Linked DNA regions of Caenorhabditis elegans. The protein of the gene in region 1 interacts with the protein of each later gene in a biochemical or structural test. Each region holds a gene or a part of one and is shown in the gene's direction. Other genes may lie near its edges.

Region 1 (5,437 bases):
CTCAGACGACGTCACTCAACTAGTTAAGTATACCGTAGAGGTACCGTAGTCCAACTTGATTTTGATGAACGGCGGATCAAAGAAAAGAACAACTTCAAAAGTACATGTATACATACTTCAGCTACTGACGCTTGAACTACTCGAAAATTGTAGCTTATCGGTGAAAATGCAGGCTAGAAATAGGCATTTCAAAATTGCAATGTATACCGCCTATTTTCTGTGAATGGCCTTTGAAACCAAAGTTCAAAAATTTGAAAAATCAATTTTAAACCCAACTTTGAAAATTATGAGTTCTTGGTTTTTTCTGGAAACGTTTAGCAAAAAGAAAATTTAAATAAATGCACAATGTTTTTTTCGTTTTGCAGAAGACACATGAACTTCAAAAAAATTAAAAATTAATGTATCCTCTAAGGCAAGTAAGTTGACTCTAAAGTAAGTGAGGCACAAAGCACGCAAATTTTGATGAATTTATGGGAATTTGTGTTACCAAACGTAACCCGCAGTGTAACTTAGCCGAAATTTTTTTGCCGGAACACTTTCAGTTTTTGCAAAAAAATCAATCTCAAGTTACGATTGGAAAGTTTTTTAAACGAACAATTTTTGAAATTTTCGATGAGCTTTTTATCAAATCACAGCTGAAACAAAGCGGACTTTGTGAAGATTCATGTTTTTATTTATTAATGTAATACATACGAAAAAAAAAACAAAATTATAAATATCTGTGCAACAAGCCCACAAACTTTTCACTGACTTTGTTGTTTTTATGGATAATTCCAGTGTTTCTTACTAATTTATAAACGCTGATAAATAGTTATGTATTTTGAAAGCAGTCTCTGAAAAAAAACACGATATTAAATCAAAAAAATTTTACAAAAAAGCAAAAAGATTTGATATACATAACATTGTAACAGAATTTACGGCCTTTCCAACAAAACAAGTTTCTGTTGTCTTATAAAAATTATTCCAAAGATCTGGGAAAGTTCATTCAATATCCCCAGCGCTCATTACCATTTTCTTACGCATCGCACTTGGTCTCCGAACCTTCATTGCATTCACCTGAATCTTAGATAGCAAATGACGAAATCAGCCCAATCCTCCAATCATCCAATCGCAGACTTGAATAATCAACGCAACATTTGCACATCCTTAGAGGTCATCCCCGCATGACTCTATCATCCTTTTCTCCGAACCTTTTTTCCTCCGCTCTCCGCCCTCCATTCTTCTTTTTCCTGGCTTCAATCCCTTTTTTTACAACCAAATGGACCCTCTAAGACAATTGAGCAACGCCTGCGGAAGAAGGGCAAGCCAATCTGCAGTCGGTTGGTCCTTTTTTATTATTTACCTTACACTTGTTTCCGTTTTAATTGTTGCGATCTTTGTACAAGAAGAAAATCATGTTGGTTTTTGATGAAGTGAGTTCGGAGTTCGAATTGTTCTTTCAACTCCAAAAATCGAAGCACTTTTGTTTTATATTTTCGGTTTCACAGTATAACAAAAATTTGTTTGTAGAGTCATGTTTAGATTAGTATATAAAAATGTTAAATTCCACAAATTTGATTGAAAAACAAAAGTAGTGATTATTGTTTGTGTATTTCTCGAAACTTATTTTTCCAATTGTAAGGAAATATGAAATCAACTAATTCTATGGATAACATATAATTTAGTTTTAATTTGAAAAATAAAATAATGTTGTAGAACTTTAATGTAGTACACATTGAAAAAAAATAGGTTTGGCGGTAAAGCTTTCTAGTTCACCCATCTTCAAGTAATGCAAAATTGAAGTTTTCTTACCTGTTCTAGTTGGTTTTGAAATTCTCCTTAAACAAATTAAAGATAATTTTATTCAATTAAAAAATATTTTCCAGTATTTGACTTTTCACCAAAGTTAAAACAACTTGAAAAAAAGTTCAAGGTGTTTTCACATGTTCTAGTCTAGACTAGTTTCTTCAAAAGTGAAAAGACTTACAAAGGCAAAAATCCTTTGTCATTGTAATCCTCCGCCATAAAATTTTGTTTGTTTTTTTCTAAGAATCTGAAAATTAACTTTTCCGCCTGTCTTGCTCCATTTTTCTCATTCCAACTCGATTAGTTTATTGCATTAGTGCAGAATGTACAAACGTTTCTGAAAACAAACGCTTTTGGTGCCAGATGTTGAGGATAATATTAATCTTTTCTCACAATTTCTTCTTGTCCATTCTTTCTTTGAATTTATCTAAATACAATTTGTTTCAGCCCAGCTTGCCTTGGCACCAGGCTCTCATTTAATCACGGTAAGCCTCTCGGTCACTGTAAACTATATAACCAATCGTTTGATTTTCAGATATCAACACAAAGTTTACGGAGAATTGCAACTGAAAAGTTGTTAGGTGAAGACACATATACAGAACAATGTTACTGGAAATTGGCACAATAACAATCGGGAATATAACCCGAGCAAGAAAGTTTGGAGAAAGGTAAGTTCCTGAAAATGGAAAATGGGTCCCCCTCCGCATTTCAAATGAGGTGTCTATTAGTTTCTGGGAAAGTTGAAAGAGAAACCCTCCCACAACTCAAGTGTTAAAGTTCTAAGCCCAAATTCAGACACTTGTGAATATTAGATTATTGCCTATTTTGACGAGCTATGGTAAAAAAAACAACACTAATTTCGAGTGAAAACTCCAAAATTGTGGTGCACTTGTCACACCATCACTCATTCTCTGACAAATCTCGATTGTGTTTTTGAGCCAACCAGCTCTTATTCGTCGCCGTCAAAACTTTCTTAAATTGAAATCACATCTCGAAACCTTCTTCCGTTTTGCATAAAATTGAATTTAGTTCAACAAGTTTAAAATGCCACCCCTTTTCTAGAAAACAAATGATGACGTTTTCCACGTTTCTCAGTTGAGAACGAGTCATGCGACTTTCAATTGGTGAAGTTCTTTTTTTTTTCTTCTGAATTGGTGTTTTTCCATTACCAAAAAAAAAAGGGTTTTTGATCTTTAGATCAACATTCTCAATTTTTCGGTGCCAATCAAGATTCTTGGTGCATTGCGTTAGACAATACTGAATTGCAGCTAATCATGTAAAACAAGAAACAAATCATTGGCAAAATTGAGAAATTGTACCCAGTAAAACTAAAAAATATGGATCAAAGGGTGGTGTGAGTTTGTTGGGTGTTTTTCGCAGATCAATGGCAATTCGTTTGTGATTTTGAAAAAAATCGCTACAATTGTGAACATTGCTCTTTTTGACTTTTTGCTAACGATTTTACAATAGCTCAAATGTTGAACTTTTACTTTTCAAGATTCTTATAGTAAGACTTTTCTTGAACGATTTAATCTAGATTTTTTGGATCCAAAAACAGTATTCCTCTTACTCGTTGTACTTTTTGGCACTTCATTCTCCTACGGACCAACCACTTCATCTTTGCAACTTTTCGCTGACCTAAGATAATCAAATTCCTTAGAAGGAAGGAAAACTTTGAAACTTTCTCCCGCTCTCTCGAGTTTTTTATACCACCCACCTATAGTTCCTCTCTGTCTCTCTCTCCGTACTCATTTCATTAATGACGTTTTAAAATAGAGCCGCTAAAGAATTGATCTTATATATTAGGAGAGAAACGCATAGTGTTCGATCTTTGATGCTCAAAGCTCAAAATGTTAAAAATGCCAGCATGGTGTTATTATAATGTATCTGAAATACAAAATTAGAAGGTATCTGCAGAAATGCTGACGTGAAATGTGGGAAGGGGAAAGAGGAAAAAAGTTTTTACGATTGGTTGTGAGTAGGCGGAAAGATATGTTGTACAGCCAGTGGGGACATGATTAAAACCGTTTAATATTGCAAAAATGATAAAATATTATGATAAACTTTTCAAAAGCTATTGAAATTTTTTTTTACTCCGAGTCAAGATTTCAAAAATTTCATTTTGATATTTGGTAATTTTAGCACCACTATTGTAATGGTTTTCAATTATTTTTCACCTACCGTACTACAGCTTTAAGATTGTCACAGCACTCCGCTTTTTCTTTTGTTTCCTTTGAACCTGCTGAAGAACATGATTTTTTTTCCAAAATCTTTAATAATTTGCAATATTACCGTATACATATTTCCTGGTTGTTACGGACCTCAAAAATAATTTTCAGTTTATATAATTGTGATGTGCTTTTGTTTTGAAAACACCACATTGTCTAGCCCATTTGCTTTTTTTAAATGAATTTTTTATGAATTATGAAAACTACTTCCACTTAAAAAATCAGTGGTTCTGGGAAAATAACCATTTATTTCATTCCGTCTTCTTGTTTTTTTGACCGCGATGAACAAATACAAAATGAGAACATTAAAAGAAAACCAAAGTCACGAGACAACGTAGGCACCCAATTGTCTCGTAATTTATGAAAACACCAGTCACCAACCTAGAAGTACACCTTTTAGCCGGTCCCGATGAGGAAAACAATGAACAAAGGTTGAAGTTTTGCTATATGCATGTTTGACGCAGTCTGGCTTGTCCGGAACAAGATGTGCAATAGATTCGAGCTTTTGCGAATATTTTGGAAGAAATAGTAAATGGCCCGATATATCTAGATGAGACTTGGACGGAGGAGTAAAGTGGAAATTCGTTTACTTCATTCTATTTTGTGCTTAAAGAAGATATTTATCTGAGAAGCGTTGGGAAATGCATTTAACGGAAAAAGCCTTTCACATTCAAATTTTAATTTTCGATTCCTTGGCCAAGTTCATGTTGCGCTGCGATAGGCTTAGTATAATATTTTCGGAAGTTATTTGCATGTTCAGCAGATTGCGTCACAAATGCCATTTGTCCGATCAATTGAGCTTATTTTTATGTTACTATTTGGGAGGGTTGAGTAAGAAAATGCTAACTAACATCGTTTTTTGTCTTTTGAGATTTGAGAAATTTCTTATTTGCTTTCTCATCATTCTTTGTATTCTCAAAAATGAATGTGAACCTTGGAAAACGCTTGTAAGTTTTTTTTGATTCTTGAAGAGTTGAAACTGGGCAATTTTTCAAATTTATAGTAACTCGCAATGTTTTGAGAAATTTTCAATTTTCGGTTCTTTTTGAATATTACACATTCTACGTATTAGTTTCAATTTTCAAAATTGTTTAAAACGTTCATAATACACATTTCTCCCTAGAAAGAATGTTTAATTATTTTGTAAAGGTTCTCCCCAATTGATCACAAAAACATGTTGCGCATTCTGCTCAACTTGAATGCTTGTATCAATTATGAATGATGGTTTAATTTGAGTATTCACGCGCAAAAAACGTGAATCATGTTTTGCAATTTCTCACGTATGTAATATGTATTACCCCATCCCACCCAATATATACAGCCTCCGGAAACACATCCTCTTTTCTCATAAGCTTATCGTAGTTTTTTCTCATCACATTGGGACATGTTGTTTTCTTTTCTGATTTTATATTTGGTTTATAGTC
Region 2 (7,545 bases), on another chromosome or scaffold:
TACAAAAAAAAATTTTCGGAGCTCATAGGAAGAAGTTATATCATGGAAAAAATCTATCTGGAATGAGCGTTAATTAGAAAAAAAAATAATGGGAAAAAAGAAAACAAAAACAAGAAAAAGGCAGATAAATAGGTTAAGAAAGTACAAAAAGCCCGAGGGAAACTGACCTGATGTTGTTGACGACTTTTCTTGAAGAATGCGTGGGCTTAAGAAGCCTATTTACTACCTAAAATTGGCCCTTCTTCACGGGCTTTCAGAGTCCCTCATATCTTGAAATGGCAGAGTTTACTGAGAACCTAGGCCGCGGCCAAGGCCACGGATTTCTGGCTTCCCTCATAAATTGAAATGGAAGAGTTTGCCGAACTAGGCCATTTTGGCTCGGCCATATCTGGGGTAGATTTACGGCGCGTTGCGTGTCGCGTCGCGGCTCGATTGTAAAACTAAATGTCCGTGTGGAGTTCACACGACTTTCCCGGCGGCCGATTGTCAATGGAGCGCGAAAAAATCGATGAGGAAGGCTAGAAGCCTGTGCATCATTTCCGCAAATTTTTTGAAGCTCCGTCGCGGTCATGGCCGATGTTCCCAACTCTCTCGGAACGCTCCGTCTTCATAAAATGGGTCTCATTAGGAATTTGGTCGTTTTAGCTATTATTCGTTATTTTTAATGATTTTTTTCGATTTTTTGATTTTTTGATTTTTTTCGTCACAAAAAACATTAAAACACACTGAAAAAATTAGAAAAATTAACGAAATCAGGAGATATAAAAAAGTTTGAATTTACGATTTTGTCGCCAAAAACCTAACGAGACCCAAGTTATGTCACTATGCGGCAATTCAAAAAAAGACAAATGTGTTATTTTGTTCTGGAAGTTACAATTTTTCACAAAGTCAGACCAATTAGAGCAGCCTCTTTCGAGTGAAAAAAGAAAAGAAAACACTTAACGAGCACACACAAATTTTAGAAGAAAAAAAAACGGAGCACCACGTGGAGAATTGCACGAAAACAACATTAAGCGATGGTTCTATACTTCCTTTTTTGTTCTGAACGTTTAATTTGGGAATAGTTTGAGCAAAGCCTAGGCTGGTCTAGGCTGGTCTAGGCTGGCCTAGCCCAGCCTAGCCAAGCATATTTTAGCCTAGACTCCCAGCTTGGCTAACCTTGCCTAGAATCCCAGTCTTGCCTAGCCTAGCCAACCTTACATAACGTATCCTACGCCTACCTAGTCTAGCCTCACCTAGCCTAGCCTAGCCTAGCTTAGTATACCCTTAACTAACCTAGTCCAACCTTATCTTACCTATCTTATCCTATGTCTACCTAGCCGGGCCTAGCTTAATCTAACTTCCCAGTCTTGCCAAGCCTAGCCAAGCCTAGCCAAACCTAGTCAAGCCTAGCCAAGCCTACCCTCACCTATCCCTGCCTAGCTTAGCCTAGCCTGGCCTAGCCTTACCTAACTTATCCATCGCCTGCCTAACCTGGCCTAGCTTAATTTGTCCTATTCTTACCGAGTCTAGCCTAACCTAACCTAGTCTGTCCTAGCCTAGCCTAGCCTAGCCTCACCTAGCCTAGGCTCACCTAGCCTTGCCTACTCTTCACTAGACTCCTAGACTTGCCTAGCCTGACCTATCAATACATCTGCTCTGTTCAAACATTGACCTCCTCTGTCACTTAACTCAATATGCCCCTGGGCCTCCTTACGGAACCTCCGATACATTTTTTTTGGTTTTTTTTATTTTTTATTACTTCCGGGGCAGATTCTCAGATGTTTGAGGTGTTTTCTCTTTTCCAATTTTCCCGGAAAATTTTAGCGAAATCCTGCTAATCCGGGGACCCCATCCCCTCGGCTAATTAGTATTTGTTTTTTTTTTCGTAAAATTTTTAGTGCTACCGTACTCTTGAATTTTGTTTCATTTTTTTTTCTTCTCCTCGAGCTCTACCAAGCCACGCCCACAACATTTCACTTTCAACACCGAGCTCCGCCCATTTTGAAGTCTCCTCTGGCTCCAACTGAGAGCTCTCTTCATATGATGATCTGCCTGCCCACCGCGCTTCTGCTCTCCGCGTTCGTCGTGGCCGCCAGTGGCCAGGAGGCACCGGCTGGAGCCGGAGCTTCTGGAGCCGCACAGGCTCCACACAATCCGAAGGATTGTCAAGCGGTGAGTCAAAAAAAAACCATTTTGTTCTAAGAAGTTTAAAGTCATGTTTATAATTGGGTTTAAAAAAGTTTTTTTTTTCAAAACTGCAAGTGGAAGTTATAATGAGATAGTTTAGTGCATTTTGGAAAAGTTTTTCGAAAACTAAGTTAGGGCCTGCGTGACGTCATACATCCCATGGTTCTCAAAATTCTGAGAATGCGTACTGCGCAACATATTTGACGCGCAAAATATCACGCAGCGAAAACTAATGACTACTGTGTATTGGTTTGATCTACGCAGATCTACGAGAATCGCGGGAACTTAGACGCAGACTTCTTAACTGATTTCGCATGGTTAAGAACGTGCTGCCGTCACATTTTCTGGACAAAAAATTTGATAAATATGATATTCTTTTGATCCTCATGACGTTTCGGTTGTAGTAAACTTAATAAGATCACAATTTCTGCTCATTTTTCGGGGGAGGATTGGATGCACAATAAAGATTAAACAACTTGCGATGAATAGAAAAAAAATCTATTTTCTTTTTCATAGTTAATCTAGATGATTCTAACCTGATCATACTATTCTCTGTTTGATTTGAATGTGTTTTTTTGTGGGGTTGGAAAGTAGTAGATCAAAGTTTTTTTAGAACTCCACTTTGGTAGATCATAACTCGGTTCATTTTATAGATAGCAAAATTTTTTAAACTATAAAGTTGCAGAAAAAGAAAAAACCTATATTTTTCTAGTTAACAACTTTTTGATAAAGCTAAAGATAGCCGAGATATGAGCTGTCAAATACGGGCTTCATCTCACCGTAGTCCTCGACAAAAATCTGAACCTATAATTACAAGGCTTCCGGTTGGTTTTTTTTTTGAAACCATGTAATTTTCGTGCTTTTCCCAAGGATTTTGTTCCGGAATAATCACTGGGTTTGAAAAACGTACTACTGTAAAAAAACACATTTTCCAGATTCTGGCCAACAACGGCGATCAACAAGAGGCGCTTTTGTGCCAATTAAGCGAGAGCAGCATGCTTCTTGCTCAGCTCGGAGCTCTCGTTTCGGAGGGAGTTGAACGTCTCGTTCAGACTCACGGTAAGTAGGCAGGTAGTAGGTAGGCAGTAGGCAGGCAAGAGGCAGGCAGTAGGAAACAGGGGCACCGCCGAAAATTTTTTTTTCGATTTTTCGGTTGTTTTTGAGCATAACAGAAAAACAAAAAATTTAAAAAAAAACCGAAGATCCGGCAGCCCTGGTAGGTAGGCAATAGGCAGGCAGTAGGTAGGCAGTCGGCAGGCAGTAGGCAGAAGGGGTGCCTTTGCCAGGTTTTTCGGTTTTTTTGGGCAAAACCGAAAAATCGGAATACCGTAAAATTGGAGTCTGAAAAACGAAAGTTGGCAGTAGGCAGGCAGTAGGCAGATAGTAGGTAGATAGTAGGCAGGCAGTAGACAGGCAGTAGGCAGCAGAGGTGCCTATGCCAGGTTTTTTTGGTTTTTTGAGCATAACAGAAAAACAACAATTTTTTCAAATAAACCGAAAATCCGGCAGGCAGCAGGCAGGCAGTAGGAAGGCAGTAGGCGGGTAGTAGGAAACAGAGGCACCGCCGAAATTTGTTTTTTCGATTTTTCTGTTTTTTTTTTAGCAAAACCGAAAAACGAAAATTAAAAAAAAAAAAACAGAAAATCCGGCAGGCCAGGTAGGCAGTAGGTAGGCTGAAGGCAGGAACTAGGCAGTAGGCATGCAGTAGGCAGGTAGTAGGCAAATACTAGGTAGGCAGTAAGCAGGCAGTAGACAGGCAGTAGGCAGCAGGGGTGCCTATGCCAGTTTTTTTTTGGTTGTTTTATAGCAAAATCGAAAAATCGAAAAACCGTAAAATGGGAATCTGAAAAACGAAAGTTGGCAGCAGGCAGGCAGTAGGCAGGCAGTAGGCAGGCAGTAGGTAGCAGGGGTGCCTATGCCAGTTTATTTGGTTTTCTGTCTTAGCAAAACCGGAAAACAGGAAAACCGGCAAGCCTAGTAGGTAGACAGTAGGCAGTAGGCATGCAGTAGGCAGGTAGTATGCAGGCTGTAGGTAGGCAGTAGGCAAGCAGTAGGCAAGCAGTTGGCAGAAGGGGTGCCTTTGCCAGTTTTTTCCCTTTGGTTTTTTTTTAGCAAAACCGAAAAACGAATTTTTTCTTTAAAAAACACCGAAAATCCGGCAGGCCTGGTAGGTAGGCAGTAGGTAGGCAGTAGGCAGGTAGTAGACAGGCAGTAGGCAGCAGGGGTGCCTTATCCAGTTTTTTTGGTTTTCTGTCTTAGCAAAACCGAAAAATGGAAATACCGTAAAATTGGAATCTGAAAAACGAAAATTGGCAGTAGGCAGGCAGGCAGCAGGCAGTAGGCAGACAGTAAGTAGGCAGTAGCAGGCAGTATGCAGAAGTAGGAAACAGGGGCGCCGCCGAAATTTGTTTTTTCGATTTTTCGGTTTTTTTAAAGCAAAATTATTTCAAAAAAAAAAGCAGAAAATCCGGCAGGCCTGGTAGGTAGGCAGTAGGTAGGCTGAAAGCAGAAACTAGGCAGTAGGCAGGAACTAGGCAGTAGGCAGGCAGACAGTAGACATCCGATTTGCCAGCTGCATGAGTCAAACTTCATTTTCTCTGCATCAAATAAGCCTCCGGTGACCCAGCCGAAAGCCTAGACTATCAATCACGTTCCGCCATTTTCTTGAAAAAGCCCCTGACTTTTAAAATGTAAAGCGCCAAATTCTTTTTAAATTCTTAATGATGGTTGTGCTCTTGCTTTGAGGTCTGATCCCAATGGGAAACGTTGTTGCAGGATTGGCTCTCGAGGAGGAGACCAACGAGGGAGACAATGACATGGAGAAGCGCAAGCACGAATACCTCCGATTCGGAAAGAGAAAGCACGAGTATCTCAGATTTGGAAAAAGGAAGCACGAGTACTTGAGGTTTGTGATTTTTTTTTAGTTGTAAGGCAGGCAGTAGGAAGACAGTAGGCAGGGTGTAGGCAGGCAGTAGGCAGACAGAGAGTAGGTAGACAATAAGCAGGCAATAGGCAGGCAGGGAATAGACAGGCAGTAGGCAATCAGTAGGCAGGCAGTAGGCAGACAGGGAGTAGGAAGACAATAAGCAGGCAATAGGCAGGCAGTAGTAGGCAGATGTTATTATGGCGCCGCAAAAAGCTGCAACTGTTAGATGGGGGCAAATACGCTCCAACGTACAAATGAATACACCCAGGAAATTTTTGGAACCAATTTTCTTAACGAGACCCAAATTATGGCAGCGTTTGGAGCGCAATTGCACTTTTTTTTCGAAAAATTGTCATTTTTGCGTCACCGTAATACTTCTCAGGTCTCTACACGAATTTGCTTGTTTTTTTTTAATACAGAAGGAATTCAAAAGCCTATAAAGATTACTGTAGTGTCCTGCAAAATATTATTTATTTACACAAAAATAATACGGACAAATTCTCGAGGAAATGATAGAAAAACTTTGAAAAATCGATGAAAATCAAAGTCGCACACCTTTTCGAATTTAACGAAAAATTTGTCGCGTCGAGACCTGTATTTGTGGCTGAAAAATCGTGTAACAAACTTGCGCGTAAAATATGATGTCTGTGCATCGAATTTTATGCGCGAATTTTTTTTCCCACTTTCACGGGGTTCAGGCCTTCCTCATTGCATTTTTCGCGCTCCATTGACAATCGCCTGCCGGACAACGCGTGGGAAAGTCGTGTACTCCACACGGACAAGTGATTTAGATTTACAACTAAAATCAAGCCGCGACGCGACACGCAATGCGCCGTAAATCTACCCCAGCTATGACCGAGCCAAAATGGCCTAGTTTGGCAAACTCTTCCATTTCAATTTATGAGGGAAGCCAGAAATCCGTGATTTTTCGAGCACAATTTAACGGAGAGAACAAGCTCTGATCTTCGCACTTTTCCGTAACACTATTAAACTTCAAAAATTGAATTTTCGACTCAAATTCGGTGTTCTTTTTGTTTGTTTCTAAATCAAATGTCACACGATGTCTCTAAAGGAAATTGTGTTCCATCAAATTTCCCCTATTTTTTTCAGATTCGGAAAGAGAAAGCACGAATACTTGCGTTTCGGACGCAAATAAGAAGGGAATATCTACTATCATCGAAGAAACATCTTTGAAAACCATACAAATAAAAGAAGAAAAAGACGGAACTACAGTACACCATTTTTTTTTGAAAGATTTTTTTTTCTATATTTTTCTCTCTATCTCTTTTCTCTCTCCCTCTCAGCATTGTCGAAAGAAGAAATTGTAATAAATCTTGTCGTTGGTTAAGAGTTATTTTCTAGAAGTCAGAGGAAGATAAGTGCGCAACCGACATTAAACAAGGTTCACGATGAACCACTTTAAAAACGATTTAAAGAAAGCAAACTTCTGGGTCTTGTAGAAATTTCTGGGAATCTGGATTTTTTGACAAGTTTTGCTGGAATGCTCAGAAAAAAAAACACTTCGAATTTTTTAAAATGTACGGTAAATTTTTTATTAGAATTTTTGTCAATAATTCCAAAAAATGAACAAAAACGCAATTATAAGATCCCTTCGAGATAAATGGAACAAAAAAAAAAGAATAAATATAAGTAGATCGTATTAGAAATTTACATGAAAATGAGCAATAAAAAATCCCAAGACTTCTGCCGAATTACTGCACGTAAACTCCACGATCGTATTTATTGAACTTTTGCGAGCGCTGTAGAATCTTATCGTTGACAAGATTTGCAACGAAAATGGCAGCGATGCCGAGGAAGCATCCAACGTTGAGTCCAGCCATTGCCTGTAAGAAATTAATTTTGAAAAGTTTGTTAAATTTGGCAAGAGTTCGCGAAGTTTGGCAAAATTTAGCAAAGTTTGGCAAAAGTTGGTAACTTTTGGTAAAAGCAGGCAAACGTTTGCGAAAGTTGGCAAAAGCTGACAGAAGTTTTTGAAAAATTGCACGATTTTGAAACTTTTCTAAAATGGGCAATTTTGTAGTTAGAGGACTCAACATTGCTCTCCGAACACTTAAAAAATGCCCTTTTTCAGAATGTAGCGGTTTTAATTTGTACATTTTCAGAAAAATTATTTTTTTCCCCAAAAAAAAGGACAGCCGTTAGATGGCAGAAAAATGAAAATGGGCAAAAATAAAAAGTTGCCTAAATTTGTTGAAAACGGGTAAATCGTATATGGACAATTCAGAAAATCTAGGTTTAACCCGTCAAAAACCATTAGTGGCAAAAATGGACAATTTATTGCAAAAAATCACAATTTTGAAACTCCTCTAAAATGGGAAATTATTTAGTTAGAGAACTCAAAATTGAAAAACTCCGTTTTTTTTAGAACACTGACAAAGTTTAGCAAAGTCGGCGAAAGTTTGGAAAAAGCTAGCGAAAGTTGGCAACTT

Evidence for each region. The genes of interacting proteins can lie anywhere in the genome.
Region 2: of the proteins of npr-4 (region 1) and flp-14, one has a biochemical effect on the other in vitro, tested with the Caenorhabditis elegans proteins (one study listed by BioGRID).

The regions. Positions count from the first base shown.
Region 1 is NC_003284.9:12,548,473-12,553,909, reverse strand, and holds the start of npr-4 (G-protein coupled receptors family 1 profile domain-containing protein), read left to right. Parts: upstream 1-2,232; 5' UTR 2,233-2,270; intron 2,271-2,320; 5' UTR 2,321-2,388; coding exon 2,389-2,453; intron 2,454-5,437.
Region 2 is NC_003281.10:12,908,490-12,916,034, forward strand, and holds flp-14 (KHEYLRF-amide 4), read left to right. Parts: upstream 1-2,020; 5' UTR 2,021-2,022; coding exon 2,023-2,154; intron 2,155-3,104; coding exon 3,105-3,228; intron 3,229-4,944; coding exon 4,945-5,074; intron 5,075-6,205; coding exon 6,206-6,251; 3' UTR 6,252-6,441; downstream 6,442-7,545. Other genes in the region: Y37D8A.16 (MARVEL domain-containing protein), read right to left, coding at 6,808-6,939.